4 linked regions of the Sus scrofa genome follow. The protein of the gene in region 3 purifies or fractionates together with the protein of the main gene of each other region. This does not show direct contact. Links are inferred from orthologs where the notes say so. Each region holds a gene or a part of one and is shown on either strand. Other genes may lie near its edges.

Region 1 (3,845 bases), on a different chromosome or scaffold from region 3:
CCCAACTATATACATCCAATTGATAAATTCCAAAACTACACTGATACCAGATTCCAAAAAAAGTTGTGTTAATTTTTTTGTGATTATGGATATGATATTGTTACTCAAAAAAAGGAAACTATCGACAGTTTTCCTTGGAAATTCTGGAATAGATGGCAATATAGAGGCATGGTTAAAAGCAGACAGATGGGGATTTAAATGCTACTTCTAGATACGCAAGCCATCTCTCAGTTGTTTCACACATAAAATGTGGATAATACCTTCCCTATGGAGTTAACTAGAAGCAAATGAAAGAATCTACATAAAATGCTTAGCACAGAACTTGGCACAAAATAAACAGTCAAAACCATTAGCTATGTGCTTATAATGGAGGCATTTAAAAAAGATTGACAGAGGCATTCCCGTTGGGTGTGGGTGGTTAAGGATCCAGCATTATCACTGCAGTGGCCCAGATTGCTGCTGTGGCATGGGTTCCATCCCTGGCCTGGGAACTTCCACATGCCCTGGGTGGGGGGAAGATTGACAGCAACCCCATACTGTGATGGATTTATAGCTTCAAGGAAAGAAAGAGAATCAAGGACTTTGACTTGGGCCTTCTGTCCCTTCCTCTGTCCCAATTACATGTTCTGTTTTTTTGTTTTTTGTTTTTTTTTGTCTTTTTAGGGCTGCACCTGTGGCATATGGAAGTTCCCAGGCCAGGGGTCCAACTGGAGCTGCAGTCGCCAGTCTACGTTACAACCACAGCAACGCAAGCCTCATCTGTGACCTACACCACAGCTCATGGCAGTGCCAGATCCTTAACCCACTGAGTGAGGCCAGGGATTGAACCCGCATCCTCATGGATTCTGGTCAGGTTCATTAACCACTGAGCCATGACAGGAACTCCCCAGTTACATGTTTTTAAGTCAAGTAGGTTAAAATAACAGATAAAGCATCCTACTAATGAAGCCAAATTTACAAATCTGATCCTCATATAGGATAGTTAACTTGTGAAAGAGAAAACTACACCATGGCTAAATGGTTCTCCTGTCTCCCAATTCCTATTTTTCATCAAAAAGAATAATTCTCCAATATATTACCTGTAAGGGACAGCAAATTATAGCAGAATATCTGGTTTATTAGAACTGGAAAGAACCACAGATCATCCAGTTCATACTTCATTTTAGAGATGAAAAATTGTAAAAGGTTAAGTGACACACCCACTATCACATGACTAGTTATGGCTGGTGAAAGTAAATCAAAAGATCTATACAGAAGTTCCCGTTGTGGTGCAGTGGTTAATGAATCCAACTAGGAACCATGAGGTTGCGGGTTCGGTCCCTGCCCTTGCTCAGTGGGTTAACGATCCAGCGTTGCCGTGAGCTGTGGTGTAGGTTGCAGACGCGGCTTGGATCCCGCATTGCTGTGGCTCTGGTGTAGGCCGGTGGCTACAGCTCTGATTAGATCCCTAGCCTGGGAACCTCCATATGCCACGGGAGCGGCCCAAGAAATGGCAAAAAGACAAAAAAAAAAAAAAAAAAAAGATCTGTACATCAAAAGATTATATACTAATGGCAATGACATGTTAGGAAAATAAATGAAATTTTAAGACTTTAGTTACTGAGATTTAGAAGTAATGATATCCTCATAATATTTAAATTAGATAAGATTTTCTGTTACCTGTTCGTAGAGGGTCTAAAAAGAAGAAGAACTTCCTAACTGCCGTACAAACATAAAAGGAGTAAAAAGATTTTTCCAGCCCATCTAACTGTGGTAAAGTAGGGATAAGTTCCAATATGTAGTTTTCTAAATCCTGAAAGAACAAAACAAAATAAAACTTTAAAGTGTTAAATGTCTGACCTTGTTTCTTCCTTAGATACTAGACTATGATTTCAGTCCTAATAATAATTGAAGATTAATACTATATTGATGAAATAAATTCCTATCTTACTAGTGGTGAAACTATATTTATTTTTATTTACTTGACATATTTTTGAATAGGTAACACATTCTATGTAGTTCCAAATTCAAAAGGAAAAAGCATTCATTAAAGTTTCCCTCTCACCTGTTTCCTCTCCTCAGAGGGAACTTATCAGCTTCTGATGTATCTTTCCAGAAATAACTGATGCACATAGAAGCCAATACATATATATTTCTCTTCCTTTTTTTTTTTTAACAAAGGCTGTAGCAGCATACCATGCAGATTCTTTTGTATCTTGCATTTATCACCTAACAATACACTATGCAGTCATTCCATTTAGACTCTCAAAGAGTTTCTACTTCTTTATTTCATTGTACTGTAATCTATTTAAACAGTCTTCTACTGATGGACATTTAGACTTTTCAATATTTTGCAACACTAAAAAAAACCTATAGGGGCAAAGCTAAATTTTCATTCATAGATATTAAGAGAGAATACAGGATATAATTTCTGTAAGTAGAATTGCTGGGTTAAAGCATACACAGGTTTATAATTTTGACAGACATCAGTAAACTTCCCACCTTCCCACAGAGGCCACATTCATTTTATACTCCCACCAGCAATGTGAAGGCTGTATCAGTAGTTCCCAAATTGTGCCCCAGGAGCATTTGTATTTTGCTTTTTGCAAAATAAACACTAAACTCACAGGGATGCAGCTGGATATTATGAACTTTTAAGGGAAACACAGCGACATCTGTTGGGTATTATACGACCTGTCACCATGTGCTGGAGCTATGAAACAAGGTCAACATCAGATCAAAATCTATTCCTTTTGACATCAATCTTTACAAAGCTACTGCTGCTGGCTGCTGTGATAAAGCAGGTACCACATGAAGATCAGTGTGGAAGAGGAACTGAGGATGACTTTGTCCAATCTAATACCCAGGGTTGAGCAGCTGGACAGTGCCCCATGGGCACACATACTCCATTAGTAATTGTTACTTAAGAAGAAAGTAAAAATATGATTTTCTTTTGATTTACATGCATCACTGTTTCAAATGGCTAACAGGCTAAGTTTAGCGAATATTTTCACTGAATTGTTTAGGACTAACTGGTTAAATAAATGCAATTGTTAGATATTTCTTTTGGCCATTTTCCTGTGGAAAAATTACTGACACAATAAGGGCACCTCAGTGAACTGAAAAAGTCTGGGAAACCATGGTCTATTTTATATTCCTTCATTAAAAGCATTATCAAACTTTTTGATCCTTGCTGATCTGATAAGTGAAAAATTATATTTTAATGTACATCTATTTGGCATTGCTCTTAAAGTGCCCTTAACATTTTTTCTGTGATTAAGAAGCATTTGTATTTTGCTTTTTGCAAAATGTATCCTTTTATTGGATTAAAAGCCATTTTCTTGATTTCTAGGAGCTTTTTATATATAAAGGGTAACCAGCCACTTGTCTGTGACAGAGTTTCAGATACTTTTCTCAGTTTGTTTTCTTTTAACTTGTTTATGATGGTCTTTGCTCTATAGTCTTTTTTTCTTTTTAGGGCTGCATCTGTGGAAGTTCCCAGGTTAGGGGTTGAACTGGAGCTGCAGCTGCAGGCCTATGCCACAGCTCATGGCAATGCCAGATCCCTGACCCACTGAGCGAGGCCAGGGATAAAACCACATCCTCATGGATAATAGTTGGGTTTGTTACCACTGAGCCACAATGGGAATGCCTAGATTTTTTTTTTTTTTGGTTGCACTTGCAAAATGTGGAAGTTCCCAGGCCAGGGATGGAACTGGTAGTAGTGACCTGAGTTGCTGAAGTGACAGTGCCAGACCCTTAACCTGCTGTGCCACAGGGTAACTCCCCATATTTTAAAAAATTCAGTTGAACTTATATTTTTCAGACTTCTGAGCTTTGTCATCCTTAGAAAGGCTTCTCCTATT
Region 2 (3,845 bases), on a different chromosome or scaffold from region 3:
AATTTCTAACTTAAGTTTTGTTCTACTACTTAGAGTCAGAGATCTTCATTTAACACATGATATATAAACAGATGGAAAGGAGAAAAGTGAAAGGAAAATGGGAAGGTGGAGAAGGAGGAAAGGAAGAACTTGCTGGTCTCAATGTACATAAAACTAACCCAATTCCTTGTTCTGAAACTTTAAGGGAAAGAGAGAGAAAAGTCCAAGGAGATGCAGAAAGAATGCCATGTAAACCCAGACTACAAATTACTAATCAAAATCCTTTCCTACTTTTATCCACCCTCACATACACACCTGTCCATCTACTAAAGCTGTAAGTGGAAGATAATCAAATAGATCTGTAAAATATTTCCAAACATTGGCATTTCCATACTTCCGCAGACATTCGTCATAAAAGCCATATACTTGGGTAATTTGTCGGCTCTCGTGGTTTCCTCTCAATATTGTAATGCGTTCTGGATACCGCACCTTGAGGAAAAGCAAAAGAAACCCATGGTACATATTTTTATTAGTGTTATGTTTTGCCCATTATCTTCAGACCCATTTCTGTCTTTTCTTTTGTTTTTTTAGGGCCACCCCATAGCATATGGAGGTTCCCAGGCTAGTGGTCAAATTGGAGCTACAGCTGCCGGCCCACACCACAGCAACCAGGGGTCTAAGCTGCGTCTGCAACCTACACCACAGCTCATGGCAACACCAGATCCTTAACCCACTGAGCGAGGCCAGGGATCGAACTTGTGTCCTCATGGATGCTAGTCGGACTCGCTACCACTGAGCCACAATGGGAACTCCTAACCTCAGACCCCATTTCTTTAAATGGCTCTTTCTTCTTCTTCTTTTTTTTAAAATGGCTTTCTTTAAATGCTATTTCATTAAATGTTAATTCTTTTTCAGAATAAAAAATTTTTTCATTCGCCACCAGGTCCTCTTTAATCTTTAAAATAATTTTTAATAGTCATTCTTCATCATGTACTCACACTCCCCTCACTGAAATCCTTATTAACTGATACCTATATTACTATAATAAAATTGTATCTGATTGTCTCTAACATCTTTTTCATCCTCAGACTACCACTAGTCAGTCTTTCCAGAACACTGACGTTTTAATGTTGAAGGGACACAGATCACAAATCTGGACCCAAGACAAACTCTCTACAGACCAACTTCTCCCTTCCTCTTATTTCCACAGGAAGAGTGTATTTGCCAACAAAACACAAAAACAGGCCCTGACAAATCTGGGCAAGATTATAAATGTATTTAGTCTCTTTTTCATAACAAAACATACAGACATACTTTATGGTATACTATTTAGTTAGGAATGTGTCTGATAAGAAGTATGGAAATGCATCAGATTTTGTAAACCAAAAAGCTGCAAATGCATACTTCATAAATATTTTACTAAGCATCCATCATGGGTCCAATACTAAACTCAGTGTTCAAAACTAGGTGCCAGGTCTGCACAAATACAATACATGAATTCTGCTGGTTAGAGACTAATTTCATTAGGAGGTACGAGAAGTAAATAATACGAGGCAATACACCACTATGTAACATAAATAAAGGATGGGAGAATGAGTTTCACAATCATTTAGAATAGAAGGAGTAAAACTAAAATGGCTTTATGGGAGAAGGAGGACTTGAGCTGAGTCCTGGCAGAAGTGGAAAGAAATCAGACAGAGTAATCTTTTGGAGAAGCCAGAGAAGGAAATATTTGGAGACAGGCAAGAGCACTGAAACTCTTTGATTTGAGGCAAGGGGTTTATGCTACCACCTATTAGCAGCAAATTCAGGCTAGATGGTAGAGGTCCAGCCAAAGAATGTGAGCTTGACTCTACAGGGAACATGGAATCATTGGGAACATTGAAATAACAAGATGCAAGTGTTTAATGAGAGAAATTTAATCCCGTAGTACATGCAAGGTAGATTTGGAGGGGTCAGATCTTGGAGACAGAAATATTAATTACCACACTATTGCACTAATTAAAGTATGAAGTGATAAAGATATGCATTGTATGACAGCAAAGAGAGACACAGGAATGACAAACTTTTCAAGGCAAGAATTAAAAAAAACCTTGTTAAATGACTCTATACAAGGGAATAAATGGCTAGATGTAAAATCAACTCTTAATTTAAAGGCTATAAAATAAGTGGATCATAAACTAGAACAGATAATACGCAATGCCACCACTCTTGCCTTTTGCCAGCTTAAAGATCAAATAAAGGAAAACTGAATTTCATTAATCATACCTTTAATGCCACAAGAAGAGTCACAGTCTCCACCGAATAATAACCTCTGTCTACATAGTCACCCATGAATAGATAGTTTGTGTCTGGTGATTTTCCACCGATTCTAAAGAGTTCCATAAGATCATGGAATTGACCATGCACATCTCCACAGACCGTAACTGGACAACGAACCTCTTGCACATTTGATTCTTTTGTTAGAATTTCCTTAGCCTGTTTAAAAAAAATGAACAATTAGAAAGTATCACAGATTTGAAGGCATCGTTTCTTGTCTATTAAAAGAAAATCTGGAGGGAAAAACCACCTGAAATGTACATTTTAAAATCATAAAACTAAAACCAAAAGAAGATATCACTTTATACCTACTAGGGTGGTTAAATAAAAAATTATAAGTTTCTTTTTTCTTTTTCTTTTTCGGGCTGCACCTGCAACATATGCAAGTTCCCTGGCTAGGGGTCAAATGAGAGCCACAGCTGCTGGCTTATGCCACAGCAATGTGGGATCCAAGCTCCATCTACAACCTACTGATCTACTAACCAGTGTCAGTACAGACTGATACAACGTGAATTTTAAGAGCTAACTTGTCAAATCCCTTGAAAATCTGCAGATTTTGACTTAAACTGCACTGAATTTACACACTTGGAGCAAAAAGCACTTTAATCAGCCTTTCCATTGATGTATATGATACTGATCACCATTTATGCAGGAGTTCCCTCTCTGGTGCATTGGATTAAAAATCAGACTGCAGCAGCTTGGGTCGCTGTAGAAGCTTGGGTTTGATCTCTGGCCTGGTGCAGTAGGTTAAAGGATCCAGCACTGCTGCACCTGTGGCTCAGATTCAGTCCCTGGCCCCCAGGGACTTCCATATGCCACAGATGCAGCTATTAAAAAAAAAAAAAAAACCCAAAAAACCCCACAAAGCTCTGTACCATTTATTCAGATTTCCTTTATTTGTTAATCAACTTGCATAACTAAGAATGTCTACTTGTTGTTGCTTATAGGGTGTAATTCAAGATAATTTATATCTGATATTATGCTGGGATTTTAAACAATTACTTGTTCACATAATACTCTTGCAACTTGAAAACTTTAATAATTCAGAATCTGAGTTCCCACTGTGGCTCAGTGGTAACGAACCTAACTAGTATCCATGAGGACTTGGGTTGGATCCCTAGTCCCATTCAGTAGGTTAAGGATCTGTCGTTGCCTCGAGCTGTGGTGTAGGCTGGCCAGCTGCAGCTCTGATTCAATCCCTAGCCTGGGAACTTCCACATGTTCATAGATTCTCCTGGATTTTCCATATATGAAAATATATTTTCCAAATATAAAATGACAATTTTTTTTCTTTTATGAATCTTATAGTCACTAGTATATTAAATCTATTCAGGCTGCTATAACAAAAATACCACAGCGGCCAAATTTCTAACAGTTCTTGAGGCCAGAAACCTAAGATCAAGATCTCCTAAAACCCAGTAAATTCTTCTGATCTATAAATGCCATAATTCCTTAAATTCTGGGGACTTCTGTCCAAAGATGGATTACTTTATTTGTTGAATTTCCTATTTCAGATACGATTACTTGTTTTTTAAAAATCGTGTTTG
Region 3 (3,845 bases):
CCGGAGACGAGGAGGGGCAGCAACCTTCCGATCACACCCCAGAGGCGGCCGGGCTGCAAGCGTCACGAGAGAGCCCAGCAGGGGCGACTGGCAGCTCCCAAAGGGGACGCAGCCTCCGCAGCCAGGCCCGGCGGCCCTGACTCCAGGCTGGCTGAGCGCACATCGAGCTCGGAGGGACAGCCGGGCTGCGTCTGGATCAGGGACAAGTGACCGATCCCCCCACCCTCCCCAGCTTTCGGGCCAGTTCAAAGACAAAGATCCTCACTGAGCAACGAGCTGGAACATGGCATGAGATTCTGACTTCCTGGTAACACGTGTAAGCCTGGCCCACAGGCCAAATCTGGCCCCCAGCCCGCTTCTGTACAGCCTGGGAGCCGAGAATGGCTTCCACGTGTCTCAGCGACTGTAAAAACACTACGGTGACTCGGGGGAGACCACACGTGGCCCCCAAAGCCTAAAATACCTCCTTGGTCCCTTTTCAGACACAATTTGCGGACGCTTTAAACACGCCACACGTGCCCGTCTGTGAACATGCCAGCCTCTGGCTGGTATTTGTGTCTCCCCAACTGAACTGTGCTCTAAGGCTCTGAGAAACGTGTCTTTGGGACCTCCAGTTTCTGTTTCCACCGCAACTCTATTTACACGACACCCAAGTGACCGACAGTGAGGCAGGGCGCTGGGTTCTCCGCTGCCGGGTCAGGCTCCCGAGAGCCACGCGACCTGCACTCGGAGGCTCCTCCTCCCGCAGGCGGGAGGGCAGAGCTCACCCCACCCCCACAGGTCTTGCTAGGCGCCCCCCTCCCCCGTCAGACCCCACGCTGCTGGCACCCAGACAGGTGCCTCGGCCTCTGCCCGCGTTGCTCTGTCTCCACCACAGGCTCTCACATCCCGGCAGCGCCCTCGCCACCTCCTGGGAGAGGCATCCCGAGCCTGGATGCTGGGTTAAGTCAACCTACTACCAGTTTCCACAACAGTGCAGACTCCTCGAACCTGTAAGGCACCTGTTCAACACCCATCTTCCTACCAGGTTTAAAGCCGAGAGGACAGGATCCACAGTGGCCACTGCTGCCTCCACCCGTGTGCACAGCGACCCCAACCACAGACCCTCCATGGAGCTGTTCTCAAGTGCTCGCAGGGGGTGGCTGACACTTAAGTTTATATTCTGAAAAAGTGAATCACCTTAAAGCAATGAACACTTAAACGGGAAATTGAGTTACCTAATCCGAGCGATCCCATTTTATCACCGACCAATTTAAGATCTTTCAAAATTGTGTTTCCCCTTTTACCTGTGAACAGGAAAAAAATATTCACATTAAACCGACTTTTAGAACCTAACAGTCTTTAAACCATGCCAACTCTTTTTCAGCAGAGTTCCTCTGTGAGACACAGTAACTGAAAACCCAGAGGAAACGGCCAGCGGTGACGGTGACACGCTGCACACACTTACACCACGCAGCGCAAGGCCCTGCCTCCCCGCCACACTCATCCCTTTTTCAGCCCCATGTCTATACTGGCACCTGCCCACCAAAGTAATTTTTCACCCAACTATCAGATATCAGCCTTCAGTGAAAAGCGCCACTGGGTACAAACGCTTGGACCCCAGTTAGTTCTTCTCAGTGTCACTCCTCTTTTGAGCGGGTACACCAAGCTCAGCTCCTCACTGGTTTCCCTTCCTCGGCGCCCTCTCGCGATCATTATTCCCCAGTCAGTGTTGACAGGGACGTGGTCGTGACCCTCTGGACCCCTTCACTGATGGCGGCGACGCTGGCGTGGGCCGTGTGAGCAGACGCACGACCAGTGTACAGACCACCTGCTCCGCGGTGGCAGCAGGTCATGCCAGGTCGGGAAGTGGTACGAGATTCTGCAAAATCCCACTGCAGTTTCCCAGCGAAGATCCCCTCAGAGAGGCAGGCAGATGCTCTGGACGCTCTGCCAGATCAGCCCCAGGGTTACCAGGACTCGGGACACCGAGCCTGTCCGTGCGGTCACGTGCCCCTGGGCGTGTCGCCATCTGTGTGCGGCAGCAGGGCTACTCCGTGTCTAGCTACCCTGTCGCTGCTTCCTATAAAAAGACATCTGGTCCAGGCCCGAGGGCAGAACGGGTTCAACGCTCCTAGAATAACTACTGTGTCTCTACAGAATCTACGAACACAGCTTTAAAAATTAATTGAACTTATATCCTATAGAAGTCACTCTAAACGTCCAACAAAAGAAAAATGGTTTAAAAATTATAATTTATCTGTTATATAAAACAGCTAAAAAGTATTTTCATGACATAGGAAAAGCAGAGCACAAAACTACAAAGAGAATATGGCTATATTCAAAAGAAATGTTTTTTTCTTTTGTCTGTCTTTTTAGGGCCGCACCCGAGGCATGTGGAGGTTCCCAGGCTAGGGGTCTAATCGGAGCTGCGGCCACCGGCCTACACCAGAGCCACAGCAGCGCAGGATCCGAGCCACCTGTGTGACCTACACCACCGCCCATGGCAACGCCAGATCCTTAACCCACTGTGCGAGGCCAGGGATCAAACCTGCGACCTCACCGTTCCTAGTTAGATTCGTTTCTGCTGTGCCACGACAGGAACTCCCAAAAGAAATTTTTAAAATAAAATGTTAAGAGAAAAGATCACGGAGTAGTAAAATTACTGGCTATTTTTGTGATTTTACATGTATTTTTCCGAGAAAATAAACACGGATCACACCCTACTTAGCTGATGAAAGAAAAACACAGCCTCCTCGGCGTTCAAAGTCCCCGTCCTCGGTGGGCGAGGCCAGGGGCCCGGGGACACTCACCTTCGGAGCCCTTCAGCGAGGGCGCGCCAGCGAGGGGGCTGAGTCCGCTTTTTAGAGGGGGCGCGTCAGAGAGCGAGGCGAGGCTTCCTACCTGCTTCCCAGGCTCACTTCTCCTACCAAGAAACAAGCGCACAGTCAAACGCGATTCCGACATCTGCCTCTGAAACAGGAGCGGCCTGAACAGACCTCCCAGGTACCAAGAGGGTGGCTGGGAAACAGAATTCGCCTTTCACAGACTCCGCACCTGGCAGGAGCACACCTGCCAGGCCACGCAGGCTAAGCGTCCCTGCCAAGTCATGCTGCAGGGCACCCCCGCTCTCCAGCACGCTGGCTGCCCCTCTCGTCAGCTGCACTGTCCATGGTGCTGTCGGAAGCTCCTTCCACGGCCCAGAGACCCAGGCGAGCCGGCCTTCCTAGCGCGCCCTCAGCCCCGCCGGCGGGCCCGACGCCACCCGGCCCTCCAGGAATTCCTTCCCCTCTCCTACTTGCTTCACTCTCCCTCTGGAAAGCCGGGTTTGCGCAACACACACACACACACACATACACACACACACACACACACTTATCTTCCCCATGTGTAACGCTTCCCAGCCCCACAGCCGCCCTCCAGCCACCTCCCATCCGTCTGCACCCCACTCGACAACCTCACCAGAAGGTCTGGTCACTAGCACCCTCCTCTCATCCTCCGTGAACCCCGCATCCCTGCACCAGCGCCCCGCCATCTGACTCAAGGGCCCACAGGGCAAAAACCCAAGGCGGGTTTCCAGCAGAACTTCACCCAGCCGCTCGCTCCGGCCCCCTCCTCCAAGCACGGGTCTCCAGGTCCTGCCCGATGCAGTGTCCCCTCCCTGGTGACCTCTTCCAGGCTCCCGGGCAGCGACTTTAGCTATGACTGCTGACCCCTAAAGTTCCTCTCAGCCCAGACCACTCCCCGGCCCCCAGACTCACACCTGAAAACAACCCCCTTCCCACGGACAGGCCTCCCCGCTTGGCCAGGGGAGCAGGAGTTTGGGACTGTCACTCGGCCCCTGTGCCACCCGGCCTTGCCCTGCC
Region 4 (3,845 bases), about 230 Mb from region 3:
ACATTGGCTTATTTTATGTTCATGATGTTTCAATTCAAGAAAGCACTTACTGTGTTTATACTGTATATACAGTGGTATAAAAGACATGATGAGACACTCTGCTAGCAGTGAAATAGGAAAATGAATCATTTAAATAAGTATAAGAATTGGAAAACTGCAAAAAATGTAATGAAAGATAAAAATGTATATTGTGAGAGTTACATTTGGTAATATGCATGAAAGGAGGGTATAATCTAGAAAGTGCTATATAAATATAAATTATTACAGGGTGAGTTTAGGGAGGAATTTTTGAAAGTGCATGCTTTAGATTGGAGGATGCTTAGTCATTCAGTAAATATCGAGCACCTGCTTATATAAGCCCAAAAGTGGCATCAAGGACATGATGGCCTTTCTGAGCAGTACTGGAGTTGGGCTTATATGGGGTTTTAAATGTGTAGATGATGAGGGGAGAGAAGGAGTACAAGGGTGTGATTGTTTTCAGGAATCCAAGGAGAATATTGGTGATTGTGTAGCTAATAAATTGAATTGGGTATGATTTAGGACTTTTAAACTAACACATTAAATGTTTTGCTCACTAAAGTTAATCCGGTTTTAACATTCAGCAGAATTATAACATGCATTGTTCAAATCATACTTTATATATTTCATTTTCTAACTTAAGGGAAACTTATAGCAGGTAATTTTCTAATGTGAAATGAGGATCCATTATTAATTTAACCAGTTAGAAAGGTGATCTTTTAAAAGTTTGTTAATAAAACAATAGCTTTGGTTTTTATATGCCATCTAAGTGTTATGTCGGAAGCTTTGTTTGGGTACCGTTGGGTTTTGGTGATCATATGATAGGGGCTCTGTCTTTACTGGTAAGAGTTACATTAACTACAAGTTAATTACATTTCGAGTGTTTTATTTTAGCTTTTTTTCCTTAAAACTAGACAAGACTACTTTGGTTTTCTTTTGATAATAATGAGAAAAAAAACGTATCAAACATTTTCAATCTTATTTTATAGCTGGAACATGAAAATGCCCAGTTAAGAAATATAAACTTCTCTTTGTCTGAAGCCCTTCATGCGCAGTCATTGACAAGCATGATCTTGGATGATGAAGGTGTTTTGGGCAGCATTGAGAATTCTTTTCAGAAGTTCCATGCTTTCTTGGATCTCCTTAAAGATGCTGGGTTAGTTCATTTCTCTTGATGGCAGTCTTCTCTTCATGACTATAATGGTAGTTTGTGAGGAACTTGAGCAATTTTTATTGCTTCCATTGCCATATCTAGTCAAATTTAGTGTAACTATAGGTAATACAATCGATTTTTTTAAATAAAGAATTAAAATTTTCAAGAAATGCAAATGGGGTAGCCTGCTTTGGTAGAGTGGAGAGCCCATTTTAAAAGAGTAACCTGTAGGAGTTCCCATTGTGGCTCAGTGGTTAATGAATCCAACTAGGAACCATGAAGTTGCGGGTTCGATCCCTGGCCTTGCTCAGTGGGTTAAGGATCTGGCGTGGCCGTGAGCTGTGGTGTAGGTTGCAGGTGTGGCTTGGATCCTGCGTTGCTGTGGCTCTGGTGTAGGCCAGCGGCTATGGCTCCAATTAGACCCCTAGCCTGGGAAACTCCATATGCCACAAGAGTGGCCCAAGAAATGGCAAAAAGACAAAAAAAAATTAACCTGTAGATGAGTAATTAGTAGGTATAGTTTTTCGTAAAGACTAAATTGGATGTAATTTTAATTGAAAATATTTCAGAATGTGTAGGAATTTTCCTACCTTTTATTTATTTTGCTTGTTTGATAAGTTTAAAGTTATTTTTGTCCTAGACGTAAAAATGTATTATTAATCTTCAGGGAAGATTAGTTGTTCTCAACTGGGAGCAGTTTTGTTGAAAGAGAGAAATGGAGATTGATAGTTGATGGAGTGGTATTTTGTCAGTGAATGAGTTGATGTGGGGAGGAAGGAACACACTGTCAGAAACTATAGGGAATGTGGTAAAGAAGTGTATGGGAGTTCCCGTCGTGGTGCAGTGGTTAACGAATCCGACTAGGAACCATGAGGTTGCGGGTTCGGTCCCTGCCCTTGCTCAGTGGGTTAACGATCCGGCGTTGCCGTGAGCTGTGGTGTAGGTTGCAGACGCGGCTCGGATCCCGCGTGCCTGTGGCTCTGGCGTAGGCCGGTGGCTACAGCTCCGATTCAACCCCTAGCCTGGGAACCTCCATATGCCGCGGGAGCGGCCCAAGAAATAGCAACAACAACAAAAAAAAAAAAAAAAAAAAAAAAAAAAAGACAAAAGACCAAAAAAAAAAAAAAAAAAAGAAGTGTATGAATGCAGGTGAGAGGCAGTGAATGAGATGCATGGTAGATGTTGGAACCGCTCGTGAGTTAAAAATGAGCAGTAGCAGGTAAGGAGATGGGATGTGTCCTGGGCCATGAGTCTAGAAGAGGCTGAGAATTGGGGAGAGAGAGTGGTTTATAGACTGGAGTAGGATGTTGGCTTTTAAGATTTTAGAAGTATTTCATAATTACAAGTCTGGGGGAGTCTAAGCTGCTCTTGTATGATTATAATAACCTTTGTCTTTTCCTCCTTTCTTCCTCTTGTCCAGGCTTGGGCAGCTGGCCGCAATGGCTGGTATAGATCAGTCAGATTTTCATTTACTAGGTCATCCCCAGATGAATTCTACTGTTAGTAGTCCACCTAAAGAAGAAAAGAAGGCACTTGAAGAAGAAAAATCAGAATCAAAACAGAGTGCCCTTGGACAAATGCAAAATATCCAAGTAAGTGGACAGAATAGAACTTAATGATTCTCAAAGCGATTAGCAAAAAGGGTATTACCAAGTCAGAAAGAAAATAATGGTGATCATCTCTAATAGTTTCACATGCTTGGGAGCCAGAAGCCTCTTTGGAGTGCTTTCCAAATCTGAGATTAGGAACTTTGTGCCCATTTTTATGTTCCTGTATTATTATAAAAAAACTGGAAATTCTTTTGAAAATCTATGAGTTAAAGAAAACTATTCTTAGTGAAGAAAGAAAACGTTAGAGAAAATAGTCCAGATTTTATATTGTATAAATGTCTATTCTATTCATATTTTATCTAGGTTTCTATTTGTATGCAGTCAGCTTACAATGAAGGAACACTAATGAAGGTACAAGTACTGATACAGATAATGTTTTAAGATAAGTAATTCAGACATAGCTAGTGGGCAGTATATTACAGTGAGTCACCCGGCTATGGAAACGGGAGGGGAAAACCTGTCAGCTTTGCCTCAAGCCTCACTTGGAGCTCCCATCTCTCACCTCAACCAATCTCACACCACTGGTCTTGGGAACTGACAGCTTTAGAACACAGTCAGGTCACAGACTGGATATTGTTTACATGTGTCTAGAGGATAGAAAAGAAATTACTTTTCTTACAGAACAGCATTTGGGTTTTTTTTTTGGGGGGGGGTTCCTCCCATTTTTTGGCCATACCTGCAGCATATGGAAGTTCCTAGGCCAGGGATTGGACCCCAACCACATCGCGACCTACATGCCACAGCTGCAGCAACACAGGATCTTTAACCCACTGTGCCAGGTGGGGATTGAACTGGCGACACCACAGAGGCAAGCCATATCACTAATACACTGTACCACAATGGGAACTCCAAGGGTGTATTGTTTTTAATGAGGGCAAGGAAATGGGTGATATCTACCCCAGATACCCAAATCTTAAAAGGTAGCAGACCTAGCCTTGGACATAGCTAAGTTGAGAATCACTTGGCAAGATATAATTAGAAAAAAAACTACCTCTGAAATCTGAATAATCAATTGACTATCTTAATAACAAGATTGCAGAGTAAATTGAAATTTTGGACTCTAC

What was found. The genes of interacting proteins can lie anywhere in the genome.
Region 1: the proteins of FGFR1OP (region 3) and PPP2R3C purify together in Homo sapiens (affinity purification with mass spectrometry; 3 studies listed by BioGRID and IntAct, counting the BioPlex papers as one, with this or other methods). This does not show direct contact. The link is inferred for Sus scrofa from reciprocal best matches to the Homo sapiens genes CEP43 and PPP2R3C.
Region 2: the proteins of FGFR1OP (region 3) and PPP2CB purify together in Homo sapiens (affinity purification with mass spectrometry; 4 studies listed by BioGRID and IntAct, counting the BioPlex papers as one, with this or other methods). This does not show direct contact. The link is inferred for Sus scrofa from reciprocal best matches to the Homo sapiens genes CEP43 and PPP2CB.
Region 4: the proteins of FGFR1OP (region 3) and CEP78 purify together in Homo sapiens (affinity purification with mass spectrometry; 3 studies listed by BioGRID and IntAct, with this or other methods). This does not show direct contact. The link is inferred for Sus scrofa from reciprocal best matches to the Homo sapiens genes CEP43 and CEP78.

The regions. Positions count from the first base shown.
Region 1 is NC_010449.5:64,776,279-64,780,123, reverse strand, and holds part of PPP2R3C (serine/threonine-protein phosphatase 2A regulatory subunit B'' subunit gamma), read right to left. Parts: intron 1,793-3,845; coding exon 1,660-1,792; intron 1-1,659. UniProt on the Homo sapiens protein: May regulate MCM3AP phosphorylation through phosphatase recruitment. May act as a negative regulator of ABCB1 expression and function through the dephosphorylation of ABCB1 by TFPI2/PPP2R3C complex.
Region 2 is NC_010457.5:54,309,153-54,312,997, reverse strand, and holds part of PPP2CB (serine/threonine-protein phosphatase 2A catalytic subunit beta isoform), read right to left. Parts: intron 2,458-3,845; coding exon 2,248-2,457; intron 469-2,247; coding exon 295-468; intron 1-294.
Region 3 is NC_010443.5:2,100,331-2,104,175, forward strand, and holds part of FGFR1OP (FGFR1 oncogene partner), read right to left. Parts: intron 2,906-3,845; coding exon 2,793-2,905; intron 1,287-2,792; coding exon 1,218-1,286; intron 1-1,217. UniProt on the Homo sapiens protein: Required for anchoring microtubules to the centrosomes. Required for ciliation.
Region 4 is NC_010443.5:231,108,532-231,112,376, forward strand, and holds part of CEP78 (centrosomal protein of 78 kDa), read left to right. Parts: intron 1-1,007; coding exon 1,008-1,174; intron 1,175-2,591; coding exon 2,592-2,763; intron 2,764-3,084; coding exon 3,085-3,132; intron 3,133-3,845. UniProt on the Homo sapiens protein: Centriole wall protein that localizes to mature centrioles and regulates centriole and cilia biogenesis. Involved in centrosome duplication: required for efficient PLK4 centrosomal localization and PLK4-induced overduplication of centrioles.